Drosophila melanogaster: one gene and its partner. Changing the gene in region 1 together with any one later gene gives a genetic interaction. Each region holds a gene or a part of one and is shown in the gene's direction. Other genes may lie near its edges. The genes, in order: Jarid2 and htt.

The links.
Region 2: of Jarid2 (region 1) and htt, changing one enhances a phenotype caused by changing the other (phenotypic enhancement), as found in Drosophila melanogaster (one study listed by BioGRID).

The regions. Positions count from the first base shown.
Region 1 is NT_037436.4:9,475,474-9,479,399, forward strand, and holds the start of Jarid2 (Jumonji, AT rich interactive domain 2), read left to right. Parts: upstream 1-1,564; 5' UTR 1,565-2,033; coding exon 2,034-2,179; intron 2,180-3,084; coding exon 3,085-3,926. Other genes in the region: Uch-L5 (ubiquitin carboxy-terminal hydrolase L5), read right to left, coding at 321-1,219, 1,299-1,374.
Region 2 is NT_033777.3:28,694,392-28,698,317, forward strand, and holds the start of htt (huntingtin), read left to right. Parts: upstream 1-1,850; 5' UTR 1,851-1,940; coding exon 1,941-2,014; intron 2,015-2,280; coding exon 2,281-2,538; intron 2,539-2,601; coding exon 2,602-2,818; intron 2,819-2,879; coding exon 2,880-3,009; intron 3,010-3,926. Other genes in the region: snu (snustorr), read left to right, coding at 1-11, 75-135, 202-533, 593-767.

The DNA.
Region 1 (3,926 bases):
CCAAATCCACTCCACTCGTGTTTTCTTTACGTTACCGAAACTGTTTATTTTTGCGTTCTATTTAAATTTTTTACTATATGTATAAGGTATATTTAGATTAACACGCAGATGTGCGTACGATTAACTGGCAGAGAGCAGGATGTTTAATATAAAAACTAAAGTACAGTACAAAGGCAGTTTCATCTAACTACTAAAGAGCAATATAAACTGGCTCTCCTCGTTTCAATATCTGATAATTTCCATTCTTTTTTCTTTTATTTCAAATATCGCAGCAATTTTAAATTGTCCAACGGGAAATTTTAAATATATACTGTAAATGCTTAGTCGGTATCCTTTTTGCGCTGCGCCTGCTCGCGTTCTAGCGCCCTCTGCTTGGCCTTCTCGTAGATGGGCATTAGTTGTCCGTTCTCGCCCAGAATTTTTAAGAGCTCCACGATGAAGGGCAAATAGTTGTGCTTGCGCCGCACATTCTCCACTTTGTAGCGCTTCTTTTTCTGAATCTCGTACTCTATGTACGTGCGCAAGCTACTGATCTCCGCCTGTCGATCCTCCTCAGTGTCCATAGCATTGGGCGCCGGATTAAGCAGCTTCTCAATCTGCTGTTCATAAATGCGCTGCCTGTCCGAGATCAGAGCCATCAGATTGAAGTGGATCTCGCCGTCGCTGTAGCGCTGCATGCGCTTCTCAATAATCGGACGCACCACATCGATCCAGTTCTGCTCCGACTTGATCTCACCAAGATCAATGGGTCCCTCCCTCAGGCCGTCCAGCTCGTACAGTCTTCCTCCGATGGGCATATAGCCGACAAAGTGGTACACGTCATCGTCCTTCTTCTGGTTCTTAGTGTCCAGCTCGAAGAGTGTTGGGCGAGCAAAGGAGTTGTGCACCGTGCGAATCTGGCTAGCGTTGCTCAAAGTTAATCCCTTGTTGTACGGATCGAAGCACTGGCAGAACTCCTTAAAATTGGTGAGGGTCTCGCCCAATTTGATGTCCTCATGATCCAGGTTCATCAGGAGGCTCAAGATCGCCTGGGTGGCGCATGCGTTGTTGATCACCTGCTTGGCAAAGAAGATGTTCTCCCGATCCAGGACCACTTTTCCAGCGGGTTCATCCTCCTGCACCCACTTGAACAGGAAGATCAGACCATGGATGGGCTCTAGGTTCTTGAAGGACTCGCTGTCGAGACTCCAGATCTCCTCCACCTGTGCCCCATCGCATCCTGGTCGAACGTACACAGTATTATTAACTTTTCTTATCCCAATTGCCGGCGTCGCTGGCAAAGCCCGCCAATAACTTACCGAATTCGCGAATAAGCTCTGTGAATACCCCGGGATCGGATTCAATGAGACACCAATTTCCAGCACCGTCGCCCATGTTAATAGTAGTCACTTGAATATCTTTCTACTATAGATTTCGCTACAAAAATGGTGCTTTTACTGCACAAAATTTTCTGTCAACTCACAGAGTGAACCAACCTTGCCAGATGTGACGGAAATCAAATGAGTGGCCTACTGCTTGTGCCGCCCTGGAAAAATAGTATGGCAACCCGACCATCCGCCATGACACAAAGCAAAAGCGGTGTAAGAAGAAGCAGAAGACGAAAAAAATATGTGCAAGCAAATCTCGCGAAAGAAAATGAAATTTGCAGCACTTGTCGTGTGTGAAATGTGAACACAGAGTGCACTAAACAATAACAAGACAATAAACAGCATTTTAGTGTTTATTTCGAGGGATAAAACCACCGCTGAGTCGCCGTTAAGATGAAGCGAAAATACGAAAATTGCGTGCTGCAGCAGAGGCAGCAACAAAAACGCTATTCGTTGTAGATATATACGTACATATATATATTTATATATACGTACATATGTGCACATATATATATGCAAATCTATACATAATAAAGAAGTGTCCGGCGGAGAATTGTATGTGCGATAATAAATAATACGAATAATAATAATTAATTCAACGGACGAAGGCGCGCGAGCGAAAGAAAAGAGGCGAGAGAAAAAGAGGCGCGAAAAGTTCGCAACAAAATGGTTGTCTCCAAAGACAACAACAAGCGTCGCCGCAAGGAGACAGAGACGCCCCCACCGCCTCCGCCCGTACCGCCCGCTGGCTCCTCGCTGGCACCTCCGTCGGCAGTGGCGGCCATCGAGTCCTCGCCCGAAATGCCCAAGAGGTGAGTCCGCCAGTCCACATATGCTCAACGATATGGGTAATGTTTAGAGGGCTTATCCATTATTACATACGTGTGTGGCACTATATGGAGATGACGTCGCAGCGTTTGTTAGCTGCTTGATTGGAATGGAAACGGATAGGGGTTGGGAGTGGGGCACTGCAGGGGGGGGGGGTCACAAGGGGGAGTAACTACGGAGGGCAGCTCTCGGTTTGTTGTATAAGCCAGCGTCAACAGCGTGTCGTGGCGTTGTTGTTTTCCTCGACGAAGGGGTGTTTCGCATCCGTCGTGCGCGGGGGGGGGGTCTGCTGGGGGAGCGCTCCTTCCCAGCAGGTGGATATATATATATACAGTGGTTAGTCACTAAGCTGAATATTCGGCTTTGATAATTAGGCAATATTTACCTACTCAGATTGATTTACTACGTCGTGGGTACTTCACCGAATACATAGCAAATGAATATAAAAATGATTTCTTGCATACATTTTTAATAATTGATAAGTGAAATTTATTTTACTAATTTTTAACATTACAATTGTTATTTTAGATTGTCAATTAAATCAATTGATTTACATGCAATCTATTTTCTATATTCCATACATAGTTTCAATGTTGTTTACAAATACAAAGTAATGACCTCATTGTTGTTCCTATATTCTTTCATTTATTTATATGCTAAAAATAAATTGATAGCCAAAGAATAATACACACAGAAATCCTAAAATAAAGTTGGATGGTAAATTTAGTTTTATTAACCGAATTAAACTTTTTATCGAATGTCCACTGTTTGTGATGTTGCCTTTATTATGATCCCAAATGAATATTGAATTTTCTAATTTATATCATATTGCCTTGTTACCACCAATTAAATATCTCTCACACTGCTCTTTGGCTCCTTCCATTTGCAGAACGAAGGTGCAGGCACAGCGCAAGTTTGCCCAGGGACAGAGTGCGCCCAGCAGCTCCTCCAGCATCGCATACAGCGCAGCAGCAGCGGCAGCTGGATCCGGATCGGGGCCCAGCACCTCCGGAGCGGATAGCAATCAGCCGCCTATCGAGATCCTGCCCAACAAGTGTCCAAAGCCACAGGACTTTCTTACCTTTCTATGCTTTCGTGGCACTCGCGCGTTGCCCGCCCACTTGGATTTCCTTAACCAGGGCAAGTCCAAGGATTCGGAAGCCTCGTCGACGGGAGCCAACAATAATAACAATGCTAGAAAGCCCAACAACAGTCGAGCGAGCTTGGCTGGCAACAAAAAGAAGCGCGGACGACCGGCCAAAGGCGCGACCAAGAAGGTGGATGTGGTAGCCCCTATACCCGATCCTACTGAGAAACCCTCAACAGCTGAAAAACCAGCTAGTGATAAAAACAATCTCATTGCAGCTGAAGCGCCTAAGATTCCCTCGCGAAATCCTACTCCTGTACTGCCAGGAGCAGTGCGAAAACGAGCAGAAGTTGTCACCGATGGTAATCGACGTGGAGCAAGAGGCAGAGGAGCAGGCATTTCCCACGATAAGACTACACCCGCAGCATTATCCAAGGACAACAAGCGCCGCTCTAATCGTGCCAGCACGAAGGAAAGTAAACCCGTCATTGATGATGACAATTCAGAGGATCTCGACGAACAAGAGGCAGATGACGATGAAGATGAGTTCTTCTCTGCTCACGATGCCACCTCGCGCAATGGTGAGGAAGTCAAGGCAGACAGTCCTGTAAAAGCGGAACCCACCAAAAGGGGACGACCCTCGG
Region 2 (3,926 bases), on another chromosome or scaffold:
GTGATCTTGACGTAGGTTTCATAGATATACATTTAATGGGAGAGTCATTAATGCTTTTTTCACATATTTTATAGCATTGTATTCTTCTTGGCTGTCGCTTTGACGTCATCGGCTCTGATCATTGAGCGCACTGAGGTAAGTCGAGAAAATCTATCCTCTTTTGGGAATAATTATAATAAAATTTGCTTACTTCCATTCCAGGGCTTGTTGGATCGCTCCTGGGTGGCTGGCGTCTCGCCCTTCGAGATTCTATTCTCGCACGTGATCACCCAGTTCGTGGTGATGTGCGGACAGACCACTCTGGTGTTGATCTTCATGCTGGTGGTGTTCGGGGTTACCAACAACGGCGACCTATTCTGGGTCATCGTGCTGACCCTGTTGCAGGGCATGTGTGGAATGTGCTTTGGCTTCCTCATCTCCTCGGTGTGCGAGCTGGAGAGGAATGCCATACAGCTGGCGCTGGGCTCCTTCTATCCCACCCTGCTGCTGTCTGGAGTGATCTGGCCGATTGAGGGCATGCCCGTGGTGCTGAGGTGAGTTCTTGTGGTATTACTCTGTTGTGAATGGAAATTTAAAAAATCTTATCCCCCAGATACATATCACTGTGCCTGCCACTAACGCTAGCCACCTCTTCGCTGCGCTCCATCCTCACACGTGGCTGGGCGATACTGGAGTCGGATGTGTACATCGGCTATGTGAGCACGCTGTCCTGGATTGTGGGCTTCCTGGTGCTGACGCTTCTCGTGCTGCGAGCCAAACGCGGCTAGGATCTTCAGATATTACGCTACTTTTAGATGCCTAACTTTAGAACACGATAAGTCGTCCTAATTAGTTTACACCCACTTCGGGTCTTCTTCTTAATTCCACTTTCGAGTTTCACTTCCCTTCGTATCTGCCCAAATGTCATAAATTATTTAAGCACATTCGCAGCTTTCCTTAGCTTTCCACTCGGCACTCGTTTTTCCTTAGACTAAGTTCCGCACTTTCGTAGTTTAAAGCGTAAGGTTTAGGTACTCCTAAATGAAATGTTGTAAATATTTTGTGTCACGAATTCAGTAATCCGTTGCTCTAGATGTCCATTATTTGCAACCCTCTGTACTAGACCTTTTCTCGACGCCGACACGGGCAGTTTATCACATACAAACGCAACTAATTTTATATATTTTCAATGGACTGTGATTGTTTTTTCTACATAATTCACGCGAATACACGTAGGGCAAGCCTAAACAAAAAGAAAACACAATGAAAACGAACAAAAACAATGGTGGGTTTTGTTATTAACATTAAGTAGCTTAAAGCATTTTTGTATGGGTTTAAGTTTTTTAAGGTAAAACATAATTAAATACAATAATGTACGCAACCCTAAAGAGTATGTAAAAATATATTTCAGGAAATATTTTGCGCAGAGCATAAATATTTCACAACGAACAAACATAAGACAATGAACAACGAACAAGTGAAAAACGTTCTTATTTAAGTAAATATTAATGTGAACGCAGTTATGTATAAATAATAATAAAGCGTGAATAAATAAATAAAGTTAAATTTAATTGTTGGTTTACTTACATTTTGAAAAAGATGTTCTCATTTTAACATTGGCGCCAATGCACTGTTACTGTTTTCTAGCATGTCCATAACAGTCTTTTAAATGCAGGAAATAACAACTCATTGTGACCAACTGGCTGGAATTTAATAAATATGTTATCACTTCTAATTTTCTCCAAAACTAAAAAGATAATTTAGCAGGTTAGTTCAAAATTTAAATATTTAACGATAGCTAACTTGAATACCAGGGCTGGTCGCTGGTGTTCCGCTTAAAAGCAGTTGTGCGCTCTGGTAACACTGGCGTTACAGCTGATTGAAATCATAACAAAAGAGCAATGTTTTCCTGTGTTGTTTATGCTTAAAAAGCGATTTTAGGCGTTATTAAGGACGCGAAAATGGACAAATCCAGGTCCAGTGCGTACGACAAGTTCGTTGGCTTCGTGGAACAACTGCGAAATACGGAATGCAGGTGGGACTGAACGGAAATTTGATTGTTTTCGGTTGCATTGAATGTTTTGGGGAGGGGACCGGCAACAGTTTGTTGCTCATTACGGAACAATATTGATTAAATTATGAAGCCCAGGTGATTTCCGGTGGTTTTATTGCCCTTAAGATGAACCTGCCAACTTGTTAGGCCACCCAAAACATTCATTCAACATTGAGCAATAAGTGCATCCGCTATGACGTCATGCCACATACCTGTAATAAAACTAATTTATTTCGAACCCCCCACAGCCAAAAGCAGAAGATCACCTGCTTTCAGCAGATTGCCGAGTGCATCATGTCGCCCTCGCTGGCGGGCCACATCAACTATGCCGCCCACTGCGGCACGGCCACGAATGTTCTGCTGCTGTTCTGCGAGGATGTGGATTCCGTGGTTCGGATGAGCGCCGAGGAAAACCTAAATAAAATACTGAGGTCACTCGAGAAAACCCGGGTCAGTCGCATTCTTATGGATCTGTATGGTGAAATTAAGCGTAATGGTAACCAGAGGTAAGGAGGCAAATATATTAAAGCTAAAATAACAATCTTAAAAAAGAAAAACTTTCTGCACAGATCCCTGAGGATTTGCCTAAACCTTTTCTCCTACTATGCTCCACAAATAAAGGAGAAACACATCAAGTGGTATGCCGTGAGATTGCTCCAATGTATGACCACCATTTCCCAGCGCAAGGAGACGTTGCTCCAGGAGACTCTTTGCGACTTCGTCAAGCACTTTAGCCGCCATATACAACAGGGTCTCAGCGATAGCGAATCCTGCAAACTGTTCGAGGTAGAATAATATCCCTAAACGTCTTTTCTTTTTATGTTTAAGCGTTTGTTGACTTTTGCAGACTTTTCTGGACCAAATTAGCTCCGATTGTGCCGTCAAGCGTCGTTGCTCTGCCCAAAACTGCATGAGTCTGATTGAGAATGCACGCAATAGGAGCCTCATGGCCAGACATGGGGTCAACAAAGTGATGGGTAAGACAGCTTAAATAGGAAATGAATTTCTGAGAGAAATACGAAAAATCCATATGAACACTGCATCCTTACTAGCAACTATAGCAAATGAGAAGTTCGTGAGTGCTGTTATTTACTATTAGAAAAGGAATTTAAATTCAGCAGAATGATACACTTGTTTCAAAACTCTAGGGTCAGCTGTTATTGTTATTTCGCAAAGAGTAACACCATTAAATTTAACAATATTGCAGCCTTAATAACAGCCTCTATTGTTTGTACACTTTTGGATAAACGTATTCACTATTCGCTGCTATCGCTGTTAGTTATTTAACGCATTTTCGCTACGACACTTTGTGTTCAACAGGACGCTCTTTATATTCACATCAATAATGAAAGAGATGTTTAAAAAGCGTGTAACGGCCAAATACTAAGCCTCGCATAGATCGTCATATATATACATATATTGTTAGGTTCGTGCTGGCTCTGCAGCTAAAAAATATTTTTAATATTCTAAAAAGCCGCAAATCCATGAAAAATACCTTACCAAAATGTAAAGCCATCGAACTGCGAACTACGCGAGCGCGGGAATAGATGGTTTTTGGTTTTATTCAAACTCGAATTGTGAATGCAATCACAGCCATGGGTTTGTTTGTCTGTGGCCTGTGGGCGCTAAAGGGGGCGTGGCACAATAAAAGTAACTAGACAGTTGATATAAATTATATTTCTACAGTGCTGTTGGTTACCATGCGCAATCGATGGACGAGCCATCGAATGTACGAATATACACACATATATTTTTTCCAGATTTGTTTTGATTTTAGGCAACGATAGCGGGCAGTTTTTATTTTAACATTTGCTAACTGGCGGACTGCAGCAATAACTGCAGCGGCAAAAACAAAAGTCATGGCAACGTGAGCCATGCGAAAATGCTTAAAAAT